Linked DNA regions of Arabidopsis thaliana. The protein of the gene in region 2 interacts with the protein of the main gene of each other region in a pairwise test. Each region holds a gene or a part of one and is shown on either strand. Other genes may lie near its edges. The genes, in order: AT2G27930, NAC028, AT2G36340 and DAR2.

Region 1 (6,516 bases), on a different chromosome or scaffold from region 2:
ACAAGAAGAAGAAACATATTAAAAATTTTCCCATCTTGGTTATTTTATTTTTCCTCATTACATAATAATATTTATACTATTCACACACACACACATATTTAATATATTTGTTAATATATTTAATTCATTATATATTTTTCCTCATATTTGTTAATATATTTAATTTCATTATATATATTCTTCTCTCATATTTGTTAAGATATTTAATTTTATTGAAAAAAATTTCTCTCATTAATCTCAAGTGTTAGTGTACCATCCACAATGAATCCAATTTATTTCTTTGGAAGCTCACCATGTCACGGAGACCCATAAAATACATATGTTTGGCTCATGAATGGATCAAATTAATAGTCAAAGGTCAAGATCAATATAAAAAATTCAAATAGTTAAGTTCAATTCACAAATTAATTAATGACCATGAATAACACGCTAAGAGAAGACAATTTTTCTCTCATCTTAGTCCACAAAAACAAGGCTATTTCAATGGATCCAAGTTTCTTCAAGGATCTTGAATCCCATTGGAATATAACAGACGGTCCTCAAGAAGGTTGCGGTATTGATTTCATTTGTCCAAAATATCTAAAGGCAATCTACACTGGAGTCACAAGTTTTTTGCACGCTCGTTCAAAATTCTAGTCACAATCTCCACTTTTTCATTTTGATGATGCATTTCAGGAATAGTTTTCTCCATTGTAATCCTATTATCAGCGCAGTATTTTATAAACTCACCGCAAATGTACTCTTTACCATTATCAGATATTAGACACTCAATTTGAGATTTATCTCAACCATACTTGTTCTTCATAAAGTAAACTTCATACTGGAGTCATCAATGAAAGTCACATAATAGTGTGATACTCCTAGCGATGCAACATAAGCAGGTTCGAACAAGTTATTTTGTACTAGCTCCAACTTCTTAGATTTCAACTTCCTACCATCACTCAAAACCTAACCCGTTTCCGCTTTCCAAGGATGCAACTTTCATACATGTAGTGATTTAATATCTTTAAATTTGGAGATTCACCATTTGTTACCATGAAATTCATACATTTCTCGCTCATATGCCTCAATCTATAATGCCACAACTCAGTTTTGTTTTAGGCATTTTCGGCAACATCAACTATATATATCTTCATAGTTAGTGGTCATATAAATAGTGTCTCTTTTATAGCTTTTTGTACCTGTCATGGAACCCTTTGTCACTATTCAAGCTCCACAACCAACATTGATATCGTGTCATGTATCATCAAATTGTCCAACAAAAAATAGATTTCACATCACTTTCGGACATGTCTAACCTTTGTGATTTTCCATACAAGCTCATCTGACATCTTCAGGTTAATGTCTTCAACACCAACAATGTCCAAAGATAATCCATCTACTAGAGATATCTTCTCATAATTTTGGGCAACATAGTTCTCCATTATGTCCTAGGGAGCATTAGTGTGGAAAGAGGCTCCTGAATCAAGAATCCAAGAATCGATCTGACTATAAGCTGAAGAGATCGATGCTTCTCGCAGTGCGATCAACAACCGCAACATGAGCTTGACTTCCTCTTGGAGAATTATACTACCAATGCATTATGCATCAATTATTACTTTTGTACAATTCCACAATTCTCTAATTATTCTCGAGAAACGACAACACGTAATTCATAATTAATGTTATAACCTAGTTTTTTCTTAAAGTGCCATAATATATTATGTAGAACGTGAAGGAAATTAAGGTCGATGCGTACTAAAATAAGACCATCCTTTACGTAAAATTTTACCACTTAAATTATTTATGTAAATAAGTGAAAGTTTCATTTTCTTTTTTAAGTAACTGTACCTTTCGAATACCTAACGCCTACGACAAACTATTTTAATTATATAACAGCTTAGAATTAATGTCGAAGAACATTTCATGTGTCTATACAAAACATATACACATTCATGTCCCTTAACCATTTAGATATTTTCCCAAAAAAAAAGAAAAGAAAAAAAAAACCATTTAGATACACAATTATTGATCCCTAAACCCCACACAATTTCAGTCTAAACTAAAATATTTAGTAGCTAGATGGATATAGAGACAGGTAACTTCAAACCACCACATCGATTAGTTATTAGATTATCTACTCGGAAATAAAGTATACAGTATATCTCCACCGACATTCTCATAGTCTAACTAATGCCTAAATTTTCATGTTATTCCTTCCTTCCACAAAGAGTCTTTTTGAACTCTTAATTTTTGTATAATGTGTTTTAAAGGTAAGACTTATATTTCACAAAAATTAATTAGTATATCAAATAGAGTCCATCCTACAATCCTACAGTATAGATATATGTTATACAATTAGCTAGAAATGTATTTAATGTTTTACAAAAAAAAAATATAGGGAAATTAGGATTTTCTTCTATACAAATTGTTGGTTTTCCATGTGAGAGGATTGTGAGAAGTGAGCTGGACATTGTACAAATTGGGAATATATAAATACACCCACCCAATACGCATATACTATGCTATGTTTGGGTGGACCATTAACTGATGATTTTAAAAAGATAAAAATAAGTTAAAGAAAAGTTTTATTTTATTTCTTGAAAAAGATTGATTAAATTAGGAGGCAAAAGGAGCTCTATGAGGAATGCCTTTTCGTCGCCTAGAATTAGAGGTATGAGTTGGAGGATGCGTGCCTTTGTGCGTTTCTTGTTGTCTTTCTTTACGCAATCTTTCTTCTTCCTCTTCCTTATTCTTCCTCATTCCTTCAACCTGACATTTTTATTATGATCACATCATACATTTCCGTTATGCAAATGTACCATATACTTTTTTTTTGAGCAAAATGTACCATATACATATATACAAACATCTAACCTCGTATATATTTTCTTAAGATACATTATATGAGGCAAACAACATGTATTAAGCGAGTTTGAATATAGTTGATTCAATGAATTTACCATACAAGTAACTAAACATTATACGGTGTATCCTTAAACCGATTCCTCATTTTATATCGGACAAATAAATGCGAAGATATTAGTAATAATGATGAAAATATGATAAACCAATTTTGTTGGTCCAGTTGTAAAGTGCTCGTTAGATAGATTGACTTATAACTATGCATTCGTTTTTCTATGATATGAAGTTTACAGGTTTTTGCTCATGATTTATCCATCCAGCTACAAAAAGGAATTTTGCATTGAGAAAAGGTGTAGGAAAACGAACCTTGCAACCCAAGGAACAGAAGCGAAAGGGATCAAGAAGGGTTCTGCAACATGTCTCACAGAAGTAGGACATGGTTTTCGGAGTGGAGGAGGCGGCACCATGGGAGGAGTTCTTAGGCTGAGGTCTCTCGTTTAAGAAGAGAACCCTCGCGCTATTGATGACATAAGTTTGCACTCCTCTTATGTCCAATGCATTCTCTATCTCCGATACTCTCACCACATCATGATACGACGATCTTCTTATCTGTCTCAATGTTAATGATAAAGAATTGGATTGAGTCAAAAGTGATATATATATATATGTGTATGCATTGTGTGTTGAGAAAATGAAGGACCTGAAGGACGGGATGATCAATGTGAAAGGAGGAGCGGCAGTAGAAGCAAAACGCAGCGTTTTGACAGGAGAGACAGAACATGTTGCACTCATTTCGCGGTGTCTCGCGATGTCGAGGGCAAATGCTGAAGAAGTTTGTTCTTAAGAGACCTTCGAGCCATTTCGGCTCCTCCATTAATCTCTCTCCTGTTTTGTTTTTCTTAGACAATAATTACAATATATACAAAAAGGGAAGAGCGAGACAAAACCTTATGAACAATGTAATAAATTACGAAGAACATGCTCTTGCCATTTGCATTACCTTTATGAAGATGATCAGTAGAGGGAGAGAGAAAGGGTATTAGATGATTGATTTTTGAGACAAGAGGAGGAAAAATCAGATTTTAAGGGTAAGAGAGAAAGGAAGATATAAATTTTATTTTATTGTTGATAAATGAAGATTTTATGTTTTTTTCTTCTTATTTAGGATTGGTAGATATCTTTTCAATTCTTCTCTTAATTATTAAATATTTATTGTTAATAGTTTATTGGGGGAGGAAAGGGAAAGGATATATAATTAGATATGATGTTTGGTTAAGGTTGATTCCTAACCGTTGGATGAGGCCATTGAGTAAATGAGTTTGATGACAAAATTACAAGCTAATTAAATGTGTATATAGATCAAAATTTGTTCCAACTTTGACTACAAAAATAACCAAAATATTAAATGATAATACTTTAAATTTAATATATATATATATGAAAATAATTAAATTCAAAAAATGTTTCTAAAATATATTTAATTAACATTTATGATTTGAATAATAGATTTCTCGAACTATTGAAACGTGTACATCCAAAAGAAACACACATTATCAACATATGTCAAATTAAAGAGATCAAAATTTGTTCCAACTTGGAATTTAATTATAACCAAAAAATTATAATGGTAATACTCTAATTTTGACATATCTATATCAATAAATGAAGAAGAATATATATATATATATATATATATATATACATATATAATTTATGGTTTACCTAAGAAATTCTTCAAACTATTGAAACGTGTACGTCCAAAAGAAACATACATAAATTATCAATATTTTCCACTTGGTATTAATCTTTTGGTTTGTAAGGTTGATCTTTTTGTTCGAGCCAACATTAAACTACATTAGATGGAATGTTGGCTCGAACAACCACATTATTCAACTTAGTTTAAAGAGTTTCAAACACTGTTTATCCCCTCATGCAAAATTTGAATCTCTTTTCTAGGTGATGACATTCCTCATTTCACTATCTTTAACCGATACTGCTTTTGAGAAAGATTACAAGGAGTTAACTCGGCTGATGACGGCCACGTCTGATGAGTGGTCTGGTCTGTCAAAGGGTAAATTTGTCTATCATTAGCATGGTGTAGAGAGAACCTTCTAATGTAAATCTTTGACTCTTTGTAGTGTCAATTGTAAAATTGTATATGAAATCCCTCATCAAGTAAAACTGCATGAATGATTTGTTAGTTGAGAAGATCGATCATTTGGAACAAAATAAAAATAAATTAAAATATTACAGACAAAAAAAAATATTACAAACACGTAAACTAAAGTTCACACTAATCGGTGGACCTCAAATATGATGGGGGAAAATGCCCGCTAATTACTCTTTAGGGAGGGTGCTAGCCTACGTGGTTGGGCGTGCCGTTTTGAGATGGAGAGCATCCGATCAGGACCAGTGTGTCAGTGATTGAGTTTGGAGCCCATTTCTTCTTATTCCTTTTGAGTTAGTTGATATTTCCCTAAGTGACTTTTTCTATTGGGCATTCTAATGGACCTGGTTTTGAACCTTTTTTGCCTTCAGTTTAGTATGCTTTTATTAGGTTAGGCGTTCGGGTATTCACATATAGAGTATAGATTGATTGGTTCTATATATGCGAAAAAAAATTAACTGACAAAAAAAATTATGCGATGTCTTGTGCTCGAAATAAAGAATAACAATTAGAAAATACGAATCTAGGGTTCAATCCATGGATAATTACTTGGAAAAATCCTTTACCTTGTAGAAATTGACATGCTATTTTATACAAAAAGAAACATAAGATGTCAATTTCTTTGTGTATAAAACATGCAAGAAAATTATTTGTTATAAAAAATATAGAAAATGTGAATTCAGATGGGTTTGAATGTGTTTTGGCCTGTCACCTTTTTCGTATGCTAACTTAATTTTTTTTTTAATTTGTTTTTATAAAACAAATATGGTTATAGTTAGCCTAATTAATTATAGTTGCGTCGTTATTATTATTATTATTTAGTAACAACATAATTTAAAATCGGAATGTTTTGTGTGAATAGATATACTATCTTGGAATTGAAAACTTTTATCAAACTTCTGACATGAAAGCTAAGTTTGGCCATGTACGTATGAGTTAAGATATTAAATTGCCTGAATATTCAGATGTACTTTTTTGAAATTTTATTTTCCTCTTATCTGTTTTTTAGCTCAAGAAAGTGACGCAATACTGATAGCCAACATGTGGAGTAGTTGTTGCATCGACCTTACGTTAATTCCCCGAATAGCTAAATATCAAATTGCTTTATCATCTCTTACTATTTGAGAATAAATTCAGTTACGGTATTTATTAAAAAGGATAACGGACTTACGCATGAATCTATTCGTAATCAATGAGTGGAAACCACTTTTTTGGTGTCATAGTTGCATTCGTGCCGGCCGCATCATCTAAGAAGCAAACCAAGGAGATTGTTTTTACTACTACGTTGCTCTTGCTGTCTTGCAAAAGATCAACAAGTAAATATCCACCCATAAACTCAGGCCCGATATCCAAAATCCAGTATAGACACTAGGCAGAACACTATAAGTAGCAATCTACACTTCATAGACAAAAAAGGCTAATCAAACCTAGTTTCGTCTTAAGAAAAGTAATAATCTAAAACAACACTCGCTCAAAAACAATAAATAACATAATTTACGTGATGT
Region 2 (8,675 bases):
TCATTTTAGGGTGTTGTAATTATTGTTAATGATATATACCAACTGTATCATTAATTTTTCTTGAATTTCAAAGGATATGGGAGTTCTTGTTTTCTTTTTTTTTGGTTAAATGGGATTTAAGTTGTAACTTTAAAGTAGGAATAAAGTCAAAGGCTCAAAGCCATATCCATAATATGATACATCTTACCAAGACGCATGAAAATTAATGGATCCATATTTCAACGGAACAATGTTTTAAATAACCTAAACTTTCAAAGAACTTTGTAAATTTCAAAGGATATTGGGAGTTTTTTGTTTTTGGTTGGGATTTATGTTTAAAGTATTTTAAAACGCATGAAATTAGGATCCACATTGAACATCTTTTAAAATAAACCTAAACTTCCGATGAACTTTGTATATTGTAACACTCCAATCCAGCCCATTAAGGCCCAAGTACCCTAAATTATGTCGTTGTGTGTTACTTAAAGTCTCACAAGTCACTTAACGCATCTCAATCTTCAACCCTAAAACAGGCAACGAACCTCAGCCACCACTGTCCATCGTGGTTGAGTTCGACGAAGTTTGTTGTTGTGATCCGATCTGATCCTAATGAAGATGAGGAAGGAAACAGTTTCTGGTAGGGGGAGTGAGATTCAATTGTAGTTATACTTCAGCAAGTAAGGCTAGATGAGAGGTGTCGACATCACCCCTAAAGGTATACCTAGCTGCCAAACTCTTTGATTGCCATGCAAGAATCAACAATATCTATAAAAATCCAGTATGCATAATCATCTTTTGAACTGGTTCTTGTGCTAGAGTTACAAAATCCTAGTTGTACTAGTACCAAACTTTTATGACACTTTTTAGCAGCTTGTTTTCGGTCAAGCTTGAAAACATGATCCATGGAAACATAACATCTATTTTTTTTGTAAATCATAAATTTGTTCATATAAAAGAAGATTTAATTATTAATTGCTAATGACTAAGATATTAAAAATTCAATGTTGAAACGTATCGATATTTGGTATGTTATGAGATATGCATACTCACGACATTGTTAATGTTGCAACGTATCGTAATATGCATATTATGACGGGGCAAGTCCGTCTAGTCCTCTTCACTCAGCGTTAGACACATTCGTTTATTCTATGTTTTGTTTGGGAGAGAATAATGAAGTTTCAATCGCCGATCCATACAAACTATTAAGAGCCAGGAAAGCAAATCTTGGCTCCATGAGATTGGCGAGCTTCTCTGACGCACCTAGATTCTTTTGTAAGAGAGGTTTTTTTCCTCTCTCTATCTTCCATTCACATTTGTTTTAATATTGAAACCGACAGTTTGAACCGTATAGGTTATTCTTAAATATTATCTGTCAAGATTCAAGAACAAAATAGCTCGATAGTAATTTTTGATGATCTATACATTGCAAAACATGGAACAGCAATCGTTATAATAAACAAGTTATTATGAAAATGACTATAAACTTACTCACATATCTATAGTGACTAAAATACTGAAATACAAGATGGCTAAATTGTTAATGTTCGTATAATCTGCTCTTACCGTCTTACGTGCATGCAAACATAATAATAATAATAAAAACCAGACAGAAGACTGATCGTTCAACCCGCGGAGAGATCATATCACTTAATACATAAACAGAAAATAACCAAATCTAGTTTTGTTTAGACGACTTTAGAGAAATGGAAAAAGCAAATGAGAGTAAATACGACCTAGGCAAATGGGAGTACAATAGAAAAGTGAAAAGCCATATATGATATATTGAACCTCAGTATTCAAATAAGACTTATGGTAGAAACAGCTAAGATGATAGCAAGAGAAAGCCCCAACTTCTTCAATACGAAACTATCTTGAAACCGAAAACCTTGTTCGTCAACCATATTTTTCTCTTTCTTCTTCTTCCAAATTTTTCTTCTCACGACAGCATTTTCCATCATGAGTATTGTTCCCCGATTGTTACAATCTCCTCTCGTAGGCTGCCTCGAGTAACCTTCACTGCCTCTGTTTTTGTTAGAGTTACCTCGATGAACACAACGCATCAATAGAAGCATAGGAATGAAGCCAATAACATGCGCGAATTTTCTCCATTGTCCAAGAACTGTTGAGCTTACTCCGTTGATTCGCGGATTTATCTTTTTACGGACATGAACCTCCTCTTTTGATGTCATACTATGACAACACTCATTGCCATCCGTCGGATTTATATAAACTATAACGGTTTGCGATGGTACTATCTGTTGGAAGAATGTGTTGGTTACCTGACGAGTTGTGACAAACAATCCATGGCTAACCTCAACTTTTTTTACCACCTCAAAACATGAGGAACTCGTTGTCTCATGATCGTTCTTGTCCAAAAGATTCTCGTTATGTTCGTTTTCCGAAAACTCGAGTGTGAAAGCATCATCCACATCTCCATTGTTGTTGTTAACGTCCATACCATCTTCAACAACAACAAAACAAAAAAATCAAATCCAGAGATGTCAAGAAAGACAACCAAATGTAGAAATCGCGAAGTGAAAGCTACCTTGATCATGATGTTCTTGTTCTTGATTATCATTATGATATCTCCAAATATCTTCTATAGGAATTACCGTTGAGTGTTCTTCAACGAAGCTCTGAAATTTGTAGAATAAATCAAACATATACTTATATTTGATAACATATATATTAACACATAAAATATTTTGCACTTAACATTGTAAAATATCACTACCTTTTCAAGTTCCTTGCTTGATACTCCTACCCATCTCAAGTTTTCAACAAGTCTTTCTTCCTTAAAATTCACATGGTGTTCTTGCATATCTACAGCCTCCACGTTCGCCTCTAGGCATGAGACTTTTTCTCCGGAATAGTTAAAGTCTCCATGGAAGTTCCCGGAAGCAGAACCACCGTCCCATGAGTCTAGACTGTTTCGTGGCTCATGTGAGGCTTGAGCCAATGCTATAATCTTGCTCAACATTTCATCTGTATCGTTAGCTACATTGTTTCCAAAATATTCATTGTGTGTGAGACCTTCTACGTAAAGTGGTGGTACTGGTGGCAACATACGATTTTGTAGTCTTGCACACTCTAACGCTATATCAACCTATTATATGAGGAGAATTCAATGGATAAGAGATTAGTTTGAAAACAAAAGGTTACATATTCACCAATTTTAATTTTGTATTTCTTTGAGATATATAGTTTAAATTTTACCTTCGAGGGAGGATATGAGATTGTTCCATATTGAGACTGAGGTGGGAAGTTGAAGGACGTGTCATGCGACATAAACTGACTCCATTTATTCTCTATCGTTTCCATATCCGACGACGAATTATTACCGAGTTGAGTTAAGCCTCCTGTCTCAGGTGAGACTGGATACCCCGAGTTTTCGAGGTTTTCATACATTCCATCAGAATACAAACAAGTACTAGAAGTAGATTGTTCACTATTAGTCGTTCCTTTGTTCTTCTTCGTACCATGGTGTTGTTCTTCAATTTTGTTGGCTAAAGCACTCTTCTTAAATACTCGACAAAGTGCATAGGCATCCTGAAATGTTTATACATTGGTTTATATTCAAGTTAAGAATCTTAATCTTTTGATAACCTTTTTAAAAGTTAGCTTACCTGTATACCGGATTTAGAGTCACATTCTTGTTCTTCAAGACGGTACTCGTGCATGACCCAATCGGTACGAGAGCCATGAGGCGCTCTTCCTCGGTAATAAACTAATGTTTTCTTTGTTCCAACCATCCGTGAATGTGAAGTCACTTTACGATCTTTCCCGGTGGCTTTCCAGTAACCTGCTTTGGTCGCCCGGTTTGTTCTTGATCCGTTTGGATATTTCCGGTCTCGAGGACTGAAAAAGAACCATTCTAGGTCTTTACTTGGCAGCAAGGACTTCCCTGCAAGGATCATACAATTAAGATAAATTATATCCAATCTTAATTTGTACACACTACTTAAAGATTCCATAACATGTCATGAGAATCCAAAAGATTAAAAAAGAAAAGACAAATAAAGAGAACATTAGATTGTTTTATATTTAAAACAAAAAGTTGAAGGTGAATGAGAAGCTTCCAAAACCCTAAAGCACATGTGAAATTATTGTGAGTTACTTATTATCTTTTTTTTTCAATCTTCTTACCTTTTTTGACTCGGTCTTCCGAATTTGTCTCACACTAGTCACCACCGCATCTCTCGGTTTTATTACAATCCTTTTAAAGACTAAAGATAAGGGTGGGTCCATTTAAATTTTATTCTAACATAAAGTTGGGATCATAATTATTAAAGATTATTTAGTTGATAAAGCATTCACGTTCGATTCCAAGTTCGATGCGTGACTAGAGATACATAACTTGGTACGTAAAAATGTGAAAATAAAATGGGAATTATATTATGTTAAGGAAAAAGAGGGAAAGAACATCTATCTTCGAAAAAGAAAGGACGTCAAGTGTCTCTTCTCTCAAGGGTTACCCTTTCAAACATTAGTTTCACATTATGTAGTTTTCAGAAAAATGAATCTATTTTTCGTTATTCTTACTAAATTCCAAAAAAAAATGATCTTACACTAAGCATATCAATCAAATGATTATGACATATTAGAAAAGAACCAGATAGAGTCTTCTCCTTCGGTTGCTATGGTATGGTCTCATTTAAAATTTCTTTAACATGAGACACAACATGTTGATGTACTAACGATGCAGAATCATAAATTTATACCTTCGTCCATGGTAAATACTTGCGGATGACCAAAAAAAATGATAGATTTGCATCTTATGAAAAAGAAAAAAAAGAAGCAAAGAGAGAAATATACCAGGTAAATCCCAAGGTTCGCATTTGTAAAGATCAATCTCGGGTATTATCTCTAACTCAATAGTCCGACCATTAATCTTTCGCTTGAGGTAGTATATGACAAGCTCTTCGTCTGTTGGATGAAACCGGAAACCTGGAGGCATTGAAACAGGAGCCATGTCCACTGCCTTATACAAACTTCTTAGCTAGAAACAAATATGAACATTTATAGAACTTAAGAGAGAAAAAGGAGAAGAGGGAGGAGAAGGAGTGAGAATATGAAGAGACAGTTATATAAGAAAGAAGCGTAACATAAGGGTTTGAATTCGATCGATCAGTGATGAAATTGTAAGAAAGACAAAAAGAGATTAAAATTATGTAAAAGAAGCTGGAAAAAGCATTTAGGGTCGGTTGCCAATTGCAAACCCCACAACATATTTTCCACTTTAACTTTTCTTTTTACTTTAATGTGTTTATATATTTCCGTGTAAATTTGATTCTCAGTAACGTTCTTAATAAGCTTTTTCGGTATCATGTTCAATGTTGGAAAACTCACGTTCATTATAATTCATCTAAACATGTTTATTTTTGTTCATCCATGCGTAACGTGTTTATGCATATAGACTAGATATTTGTCAATTTCATTTATCAGTTTTGCTCCTAGTGAAAATATTAAAAGTAACCAATTAAAGACAATTTGATAACTATTTTTGCTTGTAAAAACGGATATATATGTATAAACCTATACTAGTTAATAACTTTTGCTCGTCATATTTTTTGGCATCGACCAACGTAAGGACGTGACATATTTGACATATTTATAAGGAATTTTCAACAACTAGAACTTAATGTAAGGTTTTAAGAAAACATAATAAGTAAACTATTTTTTACGTTGTTAATTTTTGAGATGCTTTCTCACTGTTTTCACACATTTTAAGCCACATTTCATAGTCAATTATTACGTTTTCTATAATATAGAATGAAAGTTTTATATTTGATATACATCATTTTATTTTCTATCTCGTGGTCAATGCCTCAATGGTAATATTGAACCAATCGCATTTTGAAGATAGCATGTTAGATATATTTCTACTTACATTTACATACTATGCAAGTCTTCTTCATTGCTCAAAATCACAAACATTTTTCTTAACTCGCATATATATTTCCTAGATGATCATTAAAATATTTTTATTAATCATATATTGGAATTTTTTTCCCAGTATTTTTTTTTCATTTTTTCTTAAATAAAGAAATTTTTCTGCATTACATATATTCACTAACAAACATCAAAATGAATTAAAATACATTCGAAGAAGTAAACTCAAAAGTTAGTTTCATATTTCAGCATCATACTTGTTATAGACCAAAACCTGCTTCTCTTCCCACCATCTTTGTGCTTCCTTCTCTGAAAACCTCTTCCGACTGCAACCAAAGTTAGAAACCAATCATATAAATACTTAAGCGTACTTCAAACTATATAAACACTTAAAAGCACATTAACATTTTTTTACCTAAACCGTACGCGTTTAAGCGTCTTCTGACCGCAAGGCAAGGCCGTGAAAGTTATATATACACCGGGCTCGTATTGCTCAACTTGTTCTGCTGACGAGTCTTGTGTTTCGTTTTGGAGATACCCTGTTCTTGTGATGGCTGGCGATGCATCTACTAATAGCTTAATGTTGCTGTCACGGTTCGAGGATTTCGTGACACATTTCTCTACATGTTGTTTGGTTTCGTGTTGTGAACGAGCTGTGGTGATTGGTGTGAGGTATGGAATGGACATTGAGTCATCAAAGATTGGTGAGACTTGAGAAGGATTGCATGCAATGCCGGTCTTCAGAGGATTACTCGGTTTCTCTTTATTCGCTTGGAGCTGCAAGCAAAGATACCGTGAAAATGTCGGTCACATAACAAACCAAAAACAGAAAGATTAAAAAAAACTATGTATCTTTTACCTTCGATGCCAAGGCTTTTATTATCTCTTTAGCAGCTTTCGATTTCTCTGCTTCTTCTTTAGCAACTTCCCATGTCTTGTCGAGCTCTTGTTGACATTCTTCCATCTTCTCATTGCCAAGTTCACACTGCCTCTGGAGATTTTTTATCTACATGTTCATAAAAATGTATCTTTAGTGTCTAATGTGTTACTATTGTTACAGGTAAGAAAACAAAAAGAAGTAGTTTAATTACCACGGCTTTTAGCCTTTCGATTTCTTCGGTTAAGATCTTATTCGACTCAGACGAGGTTGAAATCTTCGTTGAAGATGTTCGCCTTGCTGAGACTGAAAGATTCAAAGAAGAACTTGTCGAAATCTTATCGAAACGAAACAGAGAAGGACCAGAGACTTGTCCCCATCGAGGCTGTCCATCCGAAGATCGATTAGCTTGTGGAAGATTCTGCATCTCATTCTCTGATTGTTTTTCTGTCAAATCCTCAGATACTCTTCGTGTAACCATCTGCATCCTCGGAGTGTGATTATCCATCTTAACATTTCTTGAAAACTCTGTTATACTCCATAGATGATCAAAGCAAGAATCGCAAACCCGAGAAAGCTTGCTTTTATTCGGTGCTAACGAAGCATTTACCGCTTTCTTGCTACTACATGCATTGCAAAACAATAGACCACAGTTGTAACAGTTATGCTTTCTCCTTGTGAATCCAAAAGCTGATTTGCAAGAACTACAAGCGGTTTGATCATTCAAAGAGATCTCTTTGTGTAAACAGATCGCAGCCGTCAAATTCAACCCGCAAGCTATACTTTCTACCAACCTATCACCTAAAGGCTCAACAAGAACAGGAGAGTTTCTATCTCTAACGTCACCTAAACCAAGTTGTCCATTCATGCCTTTTCCCCAAGTATAAACATTTCCAAATGAAGTTAGAACAGCTACATGATGTGAACCTGAAGCAATATCCTTGACAAATTGTCGTGTTAGATTGCCTAAAACAACATTTACCGACTTATCCTTTGCCCGCGGACATCCTAACTGTCCGTGGATCGAGCTTCCCATTGTATAAACCGTTCCTGAAATGCTTAAAGCAACAGTTAAAGTCCATCCACAAGAGACTTTTATGAAATCATGATCAATGAGTTCAGTAACACAAGTTGGCACAAGCTTTCTCTTGCTATCAGCATGTCCTAACCGTCCTTTATCGCCATCTCCCCAAGTAAACAGCTTTCCACAACTCTTGGCGTTGTAGAATTTCCGGTCGTTCGCGGTTTCCACTATAGCAGCCGTGTGCCACGGTCCACAAGAGACAGATATGACCTTCATGCGTCTCAAAGACTCAACTTCTTTCGGCTTTGTAACACTCTCAAGACTCCCATGTCCAAGAACTCCAAAAGTTCCACTACCATAAGTGAAAAGCTGACCAGAACTAGTCACAATTGCCGTGTGCCACGCGCCACAAGCAACACTTAAAACAGTCAAAGATCCGCCAAGAACATCGGATATCTTCCGAGTCAAGAACTGGCTTCCTGACTGTTCAATGGTTCCACCATCAATTCCCCATAAATACAGCTCACCAGATTCCGTAACAGCACACGTTTGATGATCACTACAAGCCACTGATCGAACTGCAACATCCTCAAGAGACTCAACGCGTTTCGGATGGTCGATATCGATGTTAACTTTAAGTCCAAGCTTCCCACTATTTCCATTCCCCCAACAAAACACTTCACCTTGTCTTGTAACCAACGCAGCATGTTTTGCACCTAGAGATATACTCTGTACATCAAACATCGTAGCAGATTCCAAAAGCTTAGGAGACAACGCATCGTTCTGATTCTTCGATCCATCGATAAGACCCGTTATAGCTCCCCATATCATAATGTCCTTAAGGACATTGGATCTTGTAACCGGCTGTGTTATGATAGAAAGAGGAGGAGAAGCAGCAAATCT
Region 3 (7,553 bases), on a different chromosome or scaffold from region 2:
CCATTTTTGATCCATATATTATATAAGTTAACATTTTCGATTTCTTTTGAAAATATAAAATCTGGCAGGGTCGTTCAGCACTCACAAGGAAAGTAGTGAAACAGATTTTGTTGGATGTGAAGCGAATTAAGGATTTAGGAGTAAGAAAGGTGTTAGTGGCTTTATCACCACCGCAGAAATGTTTGCCGAAGCTTGTCACTCCTAAAGGCTGCGACACCAACGACACCTCGACGTACCTCCACAACAGTCTTCTCCGCAAAGGACTGATAAAACTAAACGATAAGGAGATTAACAATAATGATAAAAGTTTCATGACGTTAGATCTCTACAATGCCTTTGTGACCATATTCAAGAACAAAGGAGTTTCAGGTACGTAAGATATATACCAACACTGTATATGACCAAACATAACCGATCACGTCTTTGATAGATTAAACAGAAATACATATACCTAAATAGATGGGATATATAATATAAATGTTTAAATTTGGGCAGGAGTTTCGACATTTCCGGATCCGTTTAAGGCATGTTGTGCAACAAAACGAGGTACCTTTTGTGGAGATAGAAGCTTGAGTGGTAAAAAGTTGTACACTCTTTGCGATGATCCAAAATCATTCTTCTTTTGGGACAATGTTCATATCAGTGATCAAGGATGGCGTTCTGTTTTTTCTCTTCTTCTTCCTGATTCACAGTTTTAAATCAACTAGATCAATATGCAATAATTCTCCATTCTAATGATATATGATGATTATCAATTGTCTTCATAACAATGCATACAAAGATTATTTCAATACCCACTTAAATAATAATTATTAGCTAGAGACTCTAGTCTAGAGTCAAAACCAAGGGCCACAAAGAACAAATCAAAGTTTTAGGTGCGAATTGTCAAAACTAAAATAGTGGGGCATTATACGAAAGAACCAAGAATACAGGGAGAAGTAGACAAAGAATCTTGCAAAGTCTTCTTTCTGTGTTTGATTCTCATCAAAGACTTCACTTTTGTTCTTTGTCGCTTCAATTCAACGCTTATTCCTAAATTCGATTTTGCGTTGTCAAATTCCTTAAATTTCGTTACAAAGGTTTGATATTTCCGATGAGATCTCCAGCAAAGACGATGCCGTCGATGTCACCTTCTTCAGTTTCCACGGAGAAATCTCCACCTCCGTCAGATACTTCAATGGCTATAGTAGCTTTCGATAACTCCACTACTCACTTCTCTTCTTCTCCATCGCCGCCACATTCTCTTGATCATTCCAGTGAATCGGAGAAGGAAGATGCGAAAAGTAAACCCGAGAGTAGAAGAAACAAGAATCCTGGAAAGGTTGAGGAAACTCCATCTCCGATTGTGGTGGTTCATAATCACAATCGCTCTGTGAAAGAAGTGGTTCCGACGAGAAAGAGTGCGAGAGTTGGTTCTGGGAGAAGTAGTGGCCAACGATCTGGAGCTGTTTCGGCTATTTTGAGAAGGTCTAGGAGAGAAGAGGTGGTAAAGTTTTCAGCTTTAGGGTTTCGGTTGAGTGAGGTTGTGTTGGCTTTGATATCTTTCTCAATTATGGCTGCTGATAAAACTAAAGGTTGGAGTGGTGATTCTTTCGATCGTTACAAGGAGTACAGGTAATTATTTGTTGTGTTTGTGCTTATTTCTTCGCAGATAGTGATGTTTCTTGAATTTAGGTTCAGGGTTTATTTTAGGGTTTAGGGTTTTATCAGTATCACTAGTGTTGGTTTTTTGATAAGAAATTTGGATTACTTTAGTTTTAGTACATGTGAATTGTCTTTAACACTTGCGTGGTCCAAGTCTATGTTTTGGTTGAACTTGGTGAAGTCCTTAAAAGAAGTAAAGTTTGTTCCTTTTGACATTGATTTTGATTTGTTGGATCGTAAGAATTCATTTGCAGTTTCCATTTTGTTGTTTTGGTCAAACATTTGAAGTCAGTTTAGTATGATTTGATTTTTGATTTTGAGACTAAACTGATTTATCTATGTGTCATCTTCTGATATCTGTGACAGGTTTTGCCTGTCTGTGAACGTGGTTGCTTTTGTATATTCTAGTTTTCAAGCATGTGACTTAGCGTACCATCTTGTCAAAGAGAAGCATTTGATCAGCCACCACCTTCGACCTCTGTTTGAGTTCATTATAGATCAGGCAAGTCATTAACACTTATGCTGTACTCTCGATGGTATTCCTTTGTTACTTTCGTTCTTGTATGAAGTATGATCTACGTGGTTGCATCTAGGTGATGAGAAAAACTTGGCTATAGATAATTCCTGATACTTTGACTTGCACCATCTGCTGGTATTTACCCTGTCTCCTGTGAATCAAAGAACAACACTTTGTGGTTAAAGTCCAATATTGTTACTCTTTTTCTTTATGCTTTAGCTTATAGCATATGTGGAAAGGGATTTATCTTATAGGTCGGAAAACATGGTGAAAGTGACTGTTATACTTGTTTGACCAAACTACTCCCTTCATTACATAATTGAAATCTCTTTCGTCCCCTGCAAAACATTTCAAAAGCATGTGTAAAAACAGATGGAATTATGAATAAGAAAGGTTTGTTTTGTTTGTGCAATCAGGTACTTGCATATCTGCTTATGTCTGCCTCAACAGCAGCAGTCACTCGCGTTGATGATTGGGTTTCAAACTGGGGAAAAGACGAGTTCACAGAGATGGCAAGTGCCTCGATTGCTATGTCCTTCCTGGCCTTCCTTGCCTTTGCTTTCAGTTCCCTCATTTCAGGCTATAACCTATTTAACCAAGGCTCTCTCTGATCCTCCCACCTTTTTGTATAGGTCCACACTCCTTGTGTGATGTATAATAAAAATGATCAATATATCTTAGCATTGTAATTATTATACTATTTTTGTAGCCTATATAAAGGTTTCCAAAAACTATGAGGTTAATAAGAGAGGCATATCCTGTTGTCAAAAGGGTCTTTATAGCCAACTAAATAAAGACTCTGACAGAGCAAAAGGCAACAACTTTTCAGCTCTTGAGCCATATGAGTGTCCTCGATTGTAAATGAGACCTCAGACTTATCCATTGTGCATCTTGAACCCTGAAGAAGGAAGAAGAAACCATCTTGCACAAGCCCAATGTTTAAAAATGGAAAAGGGTATTTTAGTCATTTACGTTTTCGACACTCGGACTTCCTAGTTCCTACGCCTGGAGAATATCAATAGCCGCCAAAGGATTGATCGTGCTTTTGCTTCGTATCGTCTCTGGGTTTTTAAATAGAGAGACTCGAGAGACTCTGTTTGACAATAGGGTTTTGAGCTTTCTGAGAGTTTTATATAACTTGACAAAGTTTTGATCTTTCATCACCGATCAATGGTTGGTACGAAGAGAGTTGCTGATTCCATCGACACCAACTCGGATGACACACTCACGAGGAACCGTGAGGTTGAAGTTGAGGCGATGCTCAGTAGGAGAAAGCAACTAAGGACAACAACGACGAGGACAACAACGACGAGGACAACACCATTGAGCTTGTCTTCCTCTGCTTCAAAGATGAACTGGTCTAAAAACGATGAGCTTGTCATTCTCGGGGTTAGTTAGTAAATTCTTTGCAGCTTCTCTATATTCTTCTTTATCCTCTTCTAACTTTTTTTACTCTATTTTGTGTGTGTGTGTAAAAGGGTATTGTGGACTATGAGAATGAAACGAAATTGAGCTATAGATCTGACTGGGATGCCTTGTACCGTTATATCAAAGATTGTGTAGAAGCAAAGTTTTCGAAGATTCAGCTCATCAATAAGGTCAAGAACATGAAGAGAAAGTTTACATACAATCAGGGGAGATCTAACCATGGGGAACAACTTTCTTTTACTAATACTGATGATGATGAAATCTTCAAATTGTCATTGATCATATGGGACAAGAATGAATCAGAGTATGTTTCTAATGAGAATATAGACCAAGCTAAGGTGAGTGTCTTTGTTCTGTTTTTCAACAATCTCTTAGACTACTAATGTGCAATGAATTAATGATCTTGTTTTCTTGATTTGCATAAGGATGTTCCTTCTGGTGAGCCAGAGACTAATGATGTGCCTTGTGAGGAGCAAGACGATAGGGATGTGCCTTGTGAGGAGCAAGAGCGAGCGAATATCGAGATTGATAATGGTGTGAGAGAGAAATTGGACCAAGCCAAGGTGAGTGTGTTAGTTCTGTTTTTTCTACCAATCTCCTTGTTACCATCTTAAAACATGATGTAAAAAATTGTGTTACTAATGATGTGCAATGAATTAATGATCTTGTTTTCTTGTTTTGAATAAGGATGTTCCTTGTGTGGAGCAAGAGAGTGAGGATGTGCCTTGTGTGGAGCAAGAGCGGGTGAGTATAGAGATTGATAATGGTGAGAAAGAGAAATTGGACCAAACCATGGTGAGTGTGTTTGTTCTGTTTCTACCGATCTTCTTATTACCACCTCAAAACATGATTTATTGATCTTGGTTTCTTGTTTTGAGTAAGGATTGTGAGGAGCAAGAGAATACGGATGTGCTTTGTGAGGAGAAAGGCGATAAGGATGTACCTTGTGAGGAGCAAGAGAATAAGGATGTGCCTTGTGAGGAGCAAGAGCGGGTGAGTATCGAGATTGATAATGGTGAGGAAGAGATGAGTAGCGAAGAAGATGGTGTGGATGAGGTAGGTGTTATGGAGGACACACTTGATTCTGGGATATCGTTTCAAGGTTTAGGTAAAAATGGTGTGAAAGACAAGAGTGAAGAAGATGATGTGGTTGAGTTGGGTGTTCTCCAGGAGATATTTAAGGAGGATACATTTTTTCAAAGTTTAGGTAGATATCAACAAAAATTGCTGCTTCAGAATTTGGAAAACGTTGGAGTTGAAAGAAGAAAAGAGCTCATCAACGAATGGAAGGCATTGTTTGTTGATGAGCAGCGATTGTGTGTCAAGAAACTAACTTTCGCCGCAAAGCTTGCAAACTTAGGAGTTTCTCCTTGATTCAATGAAGAAAAATCTCTGCTTTTGGAATGATCTCATTTTTTTTTGGTTGTGTCATATTGATAAGAAAAAACATGATGTATCCACGATCCGTTCTTGTTCTAGAGCCAGGTAACTGAGGTAAGTAACAGTTAGAGCTAACCATAGCAGATTCTCCTTTTTTTAGTGTTGTGTTTGTTTCGACTCTTCCTTTTGGGTTGGGCTTCGATAACGATTGTTCAGGCCCACTAACATTCTTTTCTTATTGTGCGTCTGTCTCTTTCGAGAAAAAGACACAAGCACTTAAAGCCAAGATTCGCATTTTGCCACATGCCACTAATTTCACCTTGTGTTAGATATTATTTTTGTACTACACACTCAACGAAGACCATAGATCAACTCAAAATATTTATTACACAACAATTATCGGAGAAGAGATTGATGTGAAATGTAATGAAGACGAAAAGAAAATAAAAAAAGAAACGACGAATTTGGACGTAATTTTCAGCCAAAACATATGCTTTGGGTCCCACACTTTCACATTTCAACTTTATCATCACACCGAAACACTAAACACCAAAATCCCCGACAAATTTAAAGAAAATTTTTCCATTTTTTTTTTTTACTCTATCTCTGTGAGAGATTCTCTTCAAGCTCAGGCCTTTAGGCTTTAGGTTTCTTTTGGGAGTCTTCTTGAGCTCTGTAATCACTCTCTAGAAGCTTATTTTGCCTCCTAATGTTATTAGGTACGTCTTTGTATCTGTACTTGCTTCTGCATTTTTCGATATTTGTTTCTTTTGATGAGATTTGGGGACTCTTCCTTCAGAAGGATTTGAAGATTTTGACATCTTCCATTAAAAGTTGAATCTTTACTTAAGCTAGTGTTCTTAGCATTCTGTTTATGTTAGCTTCATGAGATCTGGGATCTCGAGGCTGCTTTTTTTTTTTGCTTTGATTTCACATTTAATGGGTTTTGATTACATTTTCATTAGGTGAAGTGAGTTGAACTTGGCTTGTGGTTTTGATGAATTTCTTTCTATTAAAAGTTTTGGTTTCCCTACCAAAAAAATGTCTTCTTTTTGTTAATTAAAGTCTAAAAGTAGCTAATCTCTATCTGTACTTGTGTAGGGTTCATCATTTGAGTCTATAACTATAATGACTTTCACTGTTCATTTCCTTTTTAAATCTCTTGTTGTTTCCCTTTCCTTACTTTGTTCATCATTTCTCCTTCCCTTTACTCAATAGACACTGCTCTTCCTTTGGATTATTGCTCTGTGAGTTATTTAAAATAAGCCATAAGGTCTCTTCTTATGATTGTTGCAGGGTGTTGTACTGGAATTATTAGGATGAACCAAGGAAGATGAGTCTCTCGGTCTTTCAAAAACCAAGTCTTGTAATGAGGAGCTGTCCACTGTTGTAAAGTAAGTCATTAAGATGGAATCCTTTGCAGGTTCTTGTGAAATTGTTGAGGAGAAGGATGCGGTAAGGTTAGCCAAACATTCTAGCAGATATTGTATGTCACCTTTGGGATCAAGTAAAGATATGGAGCAGCGTCCTGCATTGAAGTCAGGGTACCAAGGTTCTATGGAGTATGACATTGATCAGCTTTTCCAGTCTATAACTATAAAACCATCACCTAGAAGAGTGATGGGCTCTTCTTTCCATCATCTTGAGACGAGCGCAAGTGCTGGTACGAGCAGGAGCACAAGCCCTTCAAATAAAGGCGCTATGAAAAAGCCCTTTCCCATGGGAACCCCTCGATCACCAAGAGTTGGTCCCTCTGATTCAATATCTCTGAAGCAGGCTCTGAGAGATCTTTGCATCTCCAAGGCATCAGAAATGGCTTCCCAGAAACGTTTATCAAAATCTGCAGCTGCATCTCCGAGGGTTTCTGAAGCAGACAGGATAAAGACTCTTTACAGACAAGTTTTGAATGAATCTGCTGGCAAGCCTGGGCTTCCTGTGGACAAGGGTAAAAGCTTGGTTGAAATATCTTTGACGCCGGTAGTCGATATACCCAGCTCCTCCCAGAGTGTACCTCAGCGGTATGATGTCCTTGAGACAGAGCCATCTAACTTCATTTCTGAACCATCTCAGGCTGAAATCCTTCTCCACGTACTTGGAAATGGGTCGGGAATAAAGACAGTGGGATATGGAATGCTGGAGACTGTATCACTGTGTAAATCCAACAAATCTGGATCTTGTCTCAGTTCTGGCAGTGGAGATTATGAGATAGAGATAGATGAAAATCATACATCTCCTCCTCATATGGTCATTGAAGATCAATTAGTGGAAATCGACAAACATGTTACCTCGCTGCCTTCTTGTTCTGGCAGCAAAGTTGATACTGAAGAGCTAGACAAGAGCATCGTCTCATCAGCTAGAGTGAAAAGTGAGCCAACAGCTTTGAGCTCAGGGTTAAAAGGAAAGTTGGATAACTTTCCTGGTTCAGGAACAGAGAAGAGCAAACTGGTAAGCAAGGTGACAAGAAATATCCCACGTCCCAAACCGCGGCCGAAGAAGAAGATATTGCTTAAAAAGAAGCTAAAAATCGTTGTAAATTCTGCTACAAAAATGGTTGAGGAAGTCGATACTTCCTTAGAGCCTAGTG
Region 4 (9,279 bases), on a different chromosome or scaffold from region 2:
ACTTTGTTTGGTTCTTATGTCCACGGCTTTTAGTCTTATATTGGATGAGCTACATATCAATTGTGTGTATTATGAATTGCAGCTTAAAGGACAACAACAACAATGTCTTGGCCACGGAGAGCAGAAATAACAGTGGTGGATTGAGATGGCGGTCAGATGAAACAAGCGATGACGAAGATGAACTGACTAGTTTTGGTTCCATGCCGGTGAAGGGAAGGAGGAGACGTAGATTCGCAGCAAGATGAAATGAAACAAACACTCGAAAAGACCATCATCAATTATGTTTAAAGCATAGAGAAAGAGAGAGAGAGGTAGAGCAAGTTGTGTAAAGAGGGGAGAGAGACTGTTACAGTGAGCGTTGTTCTCCTGTTATTTTTTGTGCTGAATTTTGTGTATTTCTTCTCTAGTCTACCTTTTTTGGACAGTTATTTTAAAGATATCATTGTGATGAGCGGAGTGATATTATTATTATGAGTATGTTTAATTTCTTATATTGGTGCAGCTGATTGTTGAATCGTAGAAGTTATAACAACACATTGAGATTAAATCATTTTCTTTTTACATTCACAATTTCCTCTCAAAATTTTAATTTTTAACTTTTTTATTATTTACCAAAACTAATAAATGGAAATAAGTAGCATAAGCTTGTTCCAAGTTTCTGATATATAAATAGGGTTTTCGGAAGAGAGAATAGGGTCTCTTCCTATCGTTCCGTCACTTTTTGTTCCGATTTGTCGACAAGGTAAACCTTAAAACTAAATCTTTCAATATAGCATAACCAATGATCCGAAAACCTAAATCTTTCATTCTCTGTTTCTGCCTTGGATCTGTATTGAAATTCATAATCTCATATTAGGTTTTCGTGTTACTTAATTCCGCAGGTGTTTGTTGGATCCATATCATGGCGACTCGTGAGTTTCCCTTAAGCTTTAGCTTTTTATACGATGCTTTCTTTTCAAGTTGCTTACAGGATTGTTCTTTTTTTTTCTGTTCTTGTTTTTGGCAGGTCTTCAATATGATAACAATAATTGCGAAATTGGTGTCTTTTCCAAACTCACAAATGCTTATTGTCTCGTTTCCGCAACATCTGCCTCCGCAAACTTCTTCACGTATATATACATACATACACTCTTGAGTCTTCACATTGTCTAATTAAGTTTTCACGTACAAGTTTGGTTTTTCTATGACTTGTAATTTTAATTAATTTATTTGTAGTGGTTATGAGTCGAAGTTAAAAGGTGTTATCCCAATTGTTACTACTTCCATAGGAGGATCAGGGACTATTGGTAGTCTATGTGTCGGAAACAAAAACGGACTTCTTCTGTCTCACACCATTACAGACCAAGGTGATTTGGTTTCCACTATTCCAAGTTCATATAGTTATTGTAATAATCTTTTTATTAATTAGGGACTATTTTATAATGTGAACAGAGCTTCAACATTTGAGAGATAGTTTGCCTGATGAAGTTGTAGTCCAACGAATTGAAGAACCTATATGTGCACTTGGAAACGCTATAGCTTGCAATGACTATGTCGCGCTTGTGCATCCAAAGCTCGAGAAAGACACCGAAGAGATAATAAGTGATGTTCTTGGTGTTGAAGTTTATCGCCAAACCATTGCGAATAACGAACTTGTGGGAAGTTATTGTTCTTTATCCAATAATGGTGGAATGGTTAGTAGACAACTATATAAAAAACACCCATTCTTTTGGTTCGTCTTTGTTTTGTGGCATTTGTCTCACTAGAAAATCACCTGACTAGCTAATATGATGTACAGGTTCACTCAAATACCAACGTGGAAGAAATGGTCGAGCTAGCGAATCTTGTTCAGGTGCCTTTGGTTGCAGGAACCGTGAACCGTGGCAGCCAAGTTATATCCGCGGGTTTGACTGTGAACGATTGGACCGCTTTCTGTGGGTCAGATACTACTGCAGTAGAGCTCTCTGTTGTTAACAATATCTTCAAACTAGTCCAATCTCAGCCTGATTTCGTCGGTAGTGAAATGAGGAAGTCTTTGATCGATACCTATGTCTAACGCTTTCTTGTTTTCTTTTTTTACTGTTTATGCCAAAATGTGTTCAAGGAGCTGCTCTTTATGACTTGGTTTTAAGTAGTAATTTCTTCTTGTTCCAGTTTAAGATTTTGGAAACATATTGATTATCATTCATCAGCAATTTCTTTGGTCTTTCTTTGGAAATAAAGCCTTTTTTTTTGTTATTAGTATTCAGTCATTGTTCTTATAAAATCTCCAAGCAACAAATATCCCCATTCAAAATCCAAGGGGAGATAAAGTCTGTCTTGAGATTCTATTTAAAGTTAACACAAACGCTGTGTGATCCATCAAATCCAAATCAAGAACATATAGCAAGATGACACATAACATTAAATCTGATCACAAAGGAAAAGTTCCAGTTAAGCGGATATGATCGAGTGTTCGACGAAGACCGTACTTACAAGCCGCTGCATTTGCTGCCCTGAAACCTCCTCCATAAGCTGGAGACGCATCATGAGCTATCTGATGTTTAAAGAACTCTCCAAGTTTCTTCTCCACGTTTGATTTTCCTCCTTTCTTGTTCGAGAAGGATGATGATGATGATGTGGCCACCGATGATGTTGAAGGCAAGTTTCTTGTTGAAGGATCTGAGAGAACTTCAGATTCAAGCCACATGTAAGAGAGGACTTGGCAGATTCCTTCCTCTACCTCAGGGTTAAGGTTCCTAAACCCTAATAGAAACAAGAAATCAAAAGAATTTAAGATGCTGATAGTTATAGTTAACAAAACAGATGTAGCATATAACACAAAATCATATTAATGTTAACTAACAAAAAAAAAAAACGAACAACCGTAAACCTAGTTTTCCCCTCCTCCTACTTTTCGTGTAAGACAAGAAAGTGATTGAAAATTACTTTATACTAAGGTGACCACTTAGGTTTTGATATTAAATAATGACTCTTAACAGATTGATTAATACATGTGTGACCTCCAAATAAATCTTACAGTATGTACCATTAAGCCTTAGCCATCCATGCATGAGCTCATGGGCGAGAATTGCTCCGGTCAGTAATCTTCATCCACAAAAGTGATTAGGTTAGTAGTCATTTACTGTCGAAAAGGGAATTTGAGAATTGAGTGAGTAGTGTAGTACCGCGGGAGCCCGTAAAGAACTAGAATCGCTGTGACTTCACATTTGCGTGTAAGCCTTTGAGGCTGAGTTCTCATACCAACAAGACGGTGAGCACCAAGTCTCGGTCTTCTAAGAACCTGTGAAGAACCAAAAAATAAAAAACAGAGCAAAATAAAATTACTGTTTAGAATCAAAATTTCAAGTAACTTTCCAGGAAGAGACATACACTTGTAACTGTTTGTTCTTCAGACAAGCATAAACCTCTTGTCTCAGGCATGTGATGGTATCCCTGTGAAACATACAGATATATCTAGGATTAACTCTTATTGTATTCTGAGAGAAACTATAACAAAAATGGTTATGTATAAGCTAAAAGATATTACGTTTTTCTCTCCTACGATAGCATCATTGAGAGCTTCTCTTTGAACAAGAAGCATAGGAATCTGTTGATCAAGTTTCATGTACATTCCTTCGTAATAGTCTCTTATAGCGTGGTAAAGCGGTTGACATTCTCCAGTATCGGTTATCGCGGTTTCCATACATTCTAAACACAAACTTCTCCCATCCTCTAACGTGTAATATCTCACATCCCATGACTACATGATCACAACATAGAAAGAAAAAAACACAATTAATTTGCTAAAAAAGAATAGATATGGACTTATCATCAATAGTTAAATTATTTGTATTTGATTACCTCCAAACGTTCGCAGCTACAACAACGAGCAGTTTTATCATATTCGTGAGACGGGCAATACTTTTGGTTCCAAAACGGATGGCATCGATACTCGATCAAGCCAGCATCATTAGTTGGTATCTGAGGAGAGAATATGGAATTGGAACTAATATAAAAATATATGATGTTTAAAAAAAATTTCAAGGTGATTGTAACGTTGCTTACAAAATGGTGACAAACTTCGCATTTGGGATGAGTAAGCTCTTTGAAACAAAGCTTATGATAGGGTTTGGTTCCTGACAGAGAGAACTTGAATCAAGAGAGAAGACAAAACACACAACCTTAGTCACTTCAGAAGGACATTAACACAAATTAAGAGTATATTGATTATTATATATATATATATGTGTGCATATATGTATACCTCATGCTCAGTGATAGCATAACCACAAGAATGGCAACGGAAGCATTCAGGATGAAAGAATGTGCCCATGCATCCTAGATAGTTCCCCGATCCAATATCGCTATTGCAACCGCCACATATTCTGCTAAAAATCACGTAAACCACGTTACCAATGTGCACTTGGAAATGGCTGCAAAATAAATTATATTCTCTACGATAGTTGATCATGAAATCAAGTTTCAAGAAATGAAAATATTAAGTTTGTTTCCATAATTTGCAATGTCACGATTAAAAGTTCGAACCAAGGTTTATTTGGAAATTCGTGACGTAGGTATTTTTGAAATAATGCTACAATAAACAGCTTATTTTTATTTTACTTTTGATAGGAATATTTTTTTTTTGTTTCACTATGAGAATGTGTTTTGTTGTACCTTTGTCTTCGTCTATATTGATAGGAAGGCTCATAAGGTGGAATGAAAGATGATGGATTCAAGCCACCGTGAAAAGGCCTTGGAAAATCTCGGTTGTTATCCATAGACCAACCATACCCTGCACGATTTATTTCATAATTAAAATTCATTCTCTAATGCAATAGAAATAACGTTTTTAACCAACTTCAATTTTTTTTGCTAACAAATACTTTAATTCATGAAAGTAGATAGAAATACCATGTGGGCGCTTCGTGTTGTCAGCTAGAGAAAGTGAAATTGAACGGTCGAGTTCTTCTTTGTCCCGTGCACCTCTTGACCGATCATCCTGTGATTCGTTTATTCGTTGACATGACCATTAAAAAAATATTGAAATGGCATCAAGAAAATAGTTGATGAAACAAATTAGCATATTTCAGATAAAAATAATTTTCCACCACCATGCATAAGGGTATCAAAACAGGTTGACAAAAAAAAAAAGGTATCAAAATAGGCCACCTCAGTTTATCTATTTCATTCATGGATTAAAATTATATTCCTAACCACAATGAGCTAGGTAGTTCATTTTAACTTTTAAAAGTTGAAATATTTTGATTATACAGAATTAAGAAATAAATCTTAATAAACAATCAAATTAAAGCATATAATAATATAGTAATTATGTAACTTTGGAATCTAATCGAATAATACATGAAAATGAATCGAAAATATCTCAACTTCGGCCACTAATAAATACTCCTTATTGAACCAACCTTATAAACCATTTTCTACCTATTTTTGTTATCCCTAATAGTGCTCAAGGCCACATTGTCACATCATCTCAATTTGAGCATCAAAACCCAACGAGACTCATGACAACAATAAAATACAAAATGGACCGACTCATTCAAAGATGTGACAATTTTACAGAATGTACATGACCCATGTTATTTGTTTCAAACAACTCGAGCAAAAAAAAAAAAAGTAAAACAGTAGTGTATGTTCACATGTCTTCTGTATATTGCTTTTAATATGAAAAATCACATGTCTATAGTATTTGTGTGTAGATTAAAATAGAAATATTTTTTCAAAGAAAAGATGTTTCAAATTAAACGAGTATAATTAAGAAAATAATTACCAAAGAAGAAGGAGGTAGAGGAAAGACCATATTCTCGTCTTCTTGAAACTGAGGAGGATGATGATTAGTGTGAGCACCACTACCACCACCATTCGAGCCACTCTTGAAAAGTTTACTCACCCATTTCATCAACTTCCATTTCTTATCTCTATACGTTGACGAAGATGACGACCCAACTTCCCCTGTAATCATCAAAACGTTAGGTTTACGCTTTTAATATTTAGTCTCAAGAATAGAATTTGGTAAGAAAAGAAAACACACCGAAGATGCAAGGATTGGAGATATGGCTGACACGAGCAACACCGTAGGAAGAAGAAGGAGAAGAAGAAGAGGAAGAGGAAGAAGAATCCATGAGGATGGAAAAATGGCCCCCACGTGATTAAATATACTTGAAAACGTGTGAGTAAAGCGAAAACGACGGCCGGAGAGAGAAGCAAAGAAGAGAAGAGGAGGAGGAAGAAGAAGGAAGAGGGGAGAAGAAGAAGAAGTTATAAGTCATTACAATTTGTTATTAGAGAATGAAAACATAAATGAAAAGAGAAGAAAGAAAGAGAGAATCTTTGCAGAAGAGATCGGGCAAAAAAAAATTAAAAGAGAAAAAGAAAAGGAAGAGATGCTTAGCTTCTGAAAGGAAAGGAACAGAGAGAAAGAGATGTTTTTTTAAGAGAATATTTTTGTCTTTTTGGTTTTTGCTGAGGCGGAAGAATCCTTCAAGCAACGGTGTGGGGAGGAGGAAGATAGTTGAAACCTTTTAAGCTTCTCTCTTTTTACACTTTATTTTTTTTTTTTTTGTTGGGGAGAAAAACCAAAAAGTTAGATTTGTAAACGAAAGCAAAAAAAAATTCTTCTTTTTGGGTTTTGATGGAGACGCTCGTTCCATCGGCTCTAACTATTTGCCTTTAAACTTTGGTTTTGTTAAATTTTCCTTGTTTTTGTTTTTATGGTCTCATACCCTCACCGAGTTTTTAATGAATCTATAGCTACATTGAAGATATGTCATTTTATTTTTTAACTAAAACTTTAGTTTCAAAATTTGTATGATTCTTGTAATTGTTTTTGGGTTTCAAATATCCGACTCATGAATCCATGAGAAGTAGTATAACAATGTTTGCACTATACATAATATGGGCGTATTAACAAAGGTCATACTCTAATACACGATAAAGATGCGCTTTTGCAACGTTACCACAGACAACTTTATAATGGGAATTAAGCTTTTATGACATTACAAACGACGGACCAATAATAATATTGTTATTTATAATTTGAGGCATCAATCTATAGGAAGGTCGTGACCGGTGATGACGCAGCAAAGGTGAAAGAGAGGCTTCAAAGTGGAATCAGACACCCAATTTTTACAGAACAAAAGCCTAACCTATTGTCATGTTTAAGTTCTTTCTTTCGATTAAATTACCTTTTTTTTGGGATCAAATTAATATTTTGGGTTAAAGACAGCATCAGATCAAATCTAGCTTTTTTCAGCAACAGTTTCCACCTTGAGATCTGACCATTTCTTTATCAACTTGCTAAAGTCGATCTCTGTATGGACGATCCATAACTTATTTTCTATTAAGGCTGCTTGTTTTTGGGAATTCTCATTTAAAGAAAATGCTTATCTTTTCTTTTTTCTTGTCAAGTTATATATTTTATCTTAAGTATCTATACCCCCAAAGATGTTTACTTATTTTTCATCATGAAAATGTTAAAACATTTTAAGCATTTGCGTTAGTTTCCTATTACATCATTATATTCCTCAGTTAATCTTACAATTTTTTTTGTGAATGTAATTAATCTTACAATTTAAAATGTCTGAACAAATGTATTTGTTCTAGACTTCTAGTTCAACAAGTATTTATTTCTTGTTAAGAATGACTTTTTAAACGATCAATCTTTTTTTATTTTTGGTAACATAAAAACGATCAATCTTATTGAAACTTTCCTACACATGGATCAAGTTGTATTAGTCTGATACAATTATTGTAACAAAATAAAGTATATATATATAGCGAAGAATTTAGCTGAGTTTGAGTAGCCGATGCAAAAATGCTGCATATGTCTTTATTCCTTTAATCACCTAAAATACAAGAATTTACTTTCTCTTATCTCATGCATGAGACATCTTATCCAAGTTGTTATAAATCTCTAACTTTGTATCTGTAAAGATTTTTGTAGTAAAAAGCCTTGAGAGATGAGAAACGTGGAATTGAGTTGGAAAGAATGACTCAAAACCTTTACAATATTCACCCAAAAAAAAAGAGAACTTTATGATCGTAAAGAAAAGAAAGGAAAAGAAAAGAGACGACTATTTTCCATTGCATTGATGGGCTCTTTCAAGCCTCAACATACGGATCATTCCGACTTAATCCGGTCCATAAAATTTGCATTTGCATGTTTAAACGATATTGACTTTATGACTTTATCAACCAATGTAGGCCACCACTAGAGTACCGTACCTAGAGATGTTAATGATGGGTTAAAATCCACTGGTACCCAAAACACACATAAAATTTTAAGCTCATAGATCTATTTTTTCTGGAAATAAAACACAGGTTTAAAATGGGCTGGGTATCCAAATAAATAAAACACATATGGGTTTACCTCATTGGGTTATGGGTACCCACGATTTTTTTTAAAATCATTTTTCAAGTGAATCAACATTTTTTTGTCAAAAAAGATTTCACATTTTTTTCTCCTAAACCGCGATTTAACAGTTTACCACCAAAAAAAAAATCAACATTTTCCCGCCAAAAAAGACATTCAAAATTTTCCCGCCAAAAACGACAATCAACATTTTCCCGCCAAAACGCAATTCAACATTTTCGTGCCAAAAACGACATTCAACATTTTCCGCCAAAACGCAATTCATCATTTTCCCGCCAAAAACGCGATTCAACATTTTTCCGCCAAAAATGATTTCACATTTTCCCGCCAAAAACGCAATTTAACATTTTCCCGCCAAAAACGACATTCAACATTTTCCGCCAAAAAGATTTCACATTTTTCGGTCAAAAACACAATTTAACATTTTCCCGCCAAAAATGATATTCAACATTTTTCCGCCAAAAACGCAATTTAACATTTTTCCGCCAAAAACGACATTCAACATTTCCGGCCAAGAAAAGGATTTGACATTTTTCCCGCCAAAAACGCAATTTAACATTTTTCCGTCAAAAAACGCAATTTAACATTTTCCCGCCAAAAACGCAATTTAACATTTTTCCCATCAAATATATATGTAATACAAAAAATAAATATAATTTAAAATATATTTATAAGCAAAATATAGATACAACATACATATAATAGTATATTAACAATTAAACATAAATTATAAGAAAATAATAAAAATCAAGTTGGGTACCCACAGGTAGTCTCGGAACAATCAGGTTTTTTCGGGCTTTACCCACTAAATCAAAAATCCATCTGGGTTTTTTAAAGTTGGGTTTTTGGTGGACGGATTTATTTTGGATTCAGGTCGGGCTGGGCTTTTTTACCCACAACAACATCTCTAACCGTACCAATTCATTTTC

Evidence for each region.
Region 1: the proteins of NAC028 (region 2) and AT2G27930 interact in a two-hybrid assay, tested with the Arabidopsis thaliana proteins (one large-scale study listed by BioGRID).
Region 3: the proteins of NAC028 (region 2) and AT2G36340 interact in a two-hybrid assay, tested with the Arabidopsis thaliana proteins (one large-scale study listed by BioGRID).
Region 4: the proteins of NAC028 (region 2) and DAR2 interact in a two-hybrid assay, tested with the Arabidopsis thaliana proteins (one large-scale study listed by BioGRID).

What each region holds. Positions count from the first base shown.
Region 1 is NC_003071.7:11,889,571-11,896,086, reverse strand, and holds AT2G27930 (PLATZ transcription factor family protein), read right to left. Parts: upstream 3,991-6,516; 5' UTR 3,845-3,990; exon of another isoform or gene 3,730-3,844; 5' UTR 3,719-3,729; coding exon of another isoform or gene 3,637-3,718; coding exon 3,211-3,636; coding exon of another isoform or gene 3,118-3,210; exon of another isoform or gene 2,752-3,117; coding exon 2,599-2,751; 3' UTR 2,359-2,598; downstream 1-2,358.
Region 2 is NC_003070.9:24,519,158-24,527,832, forward strand, and holds NAC028 (NAC domain containing protein 28), read right to left. Parts: upstream 5,104-8,675; 5' UTR 4,952-5,103; coding exon 4,795-4,951; intron 3,884-4,794; coding exon 3,606-3,883; intron 3,529-3,605; coding exon 3,196-3,528; intron 3,086-3,195; coding exon 2,714-3,085; intron 2,616-2,713; coding exon 2,525-2,615; intron 2,441-2,524; coding exon 1,776-2,440; 3' UTR 1,511-1,775; downstream 1-1,510. Other genes in the region: AT1G65920 (Regulator of chromosome condensation (RCC1) family with FYVE zinc finger domain-containing protein), read right to left, coding at 6,110-6,197, 6,287-6,648, 6,731-6,877, 6,963-8,675.
Region 3 is NC_003071.7:15,232,527-15,240,079, forward strand, and holds AT2G36340 (DNA-binding storekeeper protein-related transcriptional regulator), read left to right. Parts: upstream 1-2,960; 5' UTR 2,961-3,331; coding exon 3,332-3,550; intron 3,551-3,639; coding exon 3,640-3,927; intron 3,928-4,014; coding exon 4,015-4,152; intron 4,153-4,276; coding exon 4,277-4,384; intron 4,385-4,471; coding exon 4,472-4,963; 3' UTR 4,964-5,378; downstream 5,379-7,553. Other genes in the region: AT2G36325 (GDSL-like Lipase/Acylhydrolase superfamily protein), read left to right, coding at 69-369, 496-698; AT2G36330 (Uncharacterized protein family (UPF0497)), read left to right, coding at 1,094-1,614, 2,011-2,146, 2,578-2,772; AT2G36350 (Protein kinase superfamily protein), read left to right, coding at 6,377-7,553. UniProt on the Arabidopsis thaliana protein: Probable transcription factor. Involved in stress responses. Plays a repressive role in cell expansion by counteracting the positive role of CPR5 in this process, but does not regulate cell proliferation or endoreduplication.
Region 4 is NC_003071.7:16,617,558-16,626,836, forward strand, and holds DAR2 (DA1-related protein 2), read right to left. Parts: upstream 6,594-9,279; 5' UTR 6,102-6,593; coding exon 6,011-6,101; intron 5,932-6,010; coding exon 5,750-5,931; intron 4,961-5,749; coding exon 4,873-4,960; intron 4,754-4,872; coding exon 4,636-4,753; intron 4,347-4,635; coding exon 4,226-4,346; intron 4,111-4,225; coding exon 4,027-4,110; intron 3,943-4,026; coding exon 3,823-3,942; intron 3,722-3,822; coding exon 3,509-3,721; intron 3,415-3,508; coding exon 3,352-3,414; intron 3,263-3,351; coding exon 3,147-3,262; intron 3,067-3,146; coding exon 2,999-3,066; coding exon of another isoform or gene 2,940-2,998; exon of another isoform or gene 2,725-2,939; coding exon 2,393-2,724; 3' UTR 2,186-2,392; downstream 1-2,185. Other genes in the region: HOS1 (ubiquitin-protein ligase), read left to right, coding at 83-245; eIF6B (Translation initiation factor IF6), read left to right, coding at 902-911, 1,007-1,109, 1,216-1,346, 1,432-1,673, 1,778-2,035. UniProt on the Arabidopsis thaliana protein: Acts redundantly with DA1 and DAR1 to regulate endoreduplication during leaf development.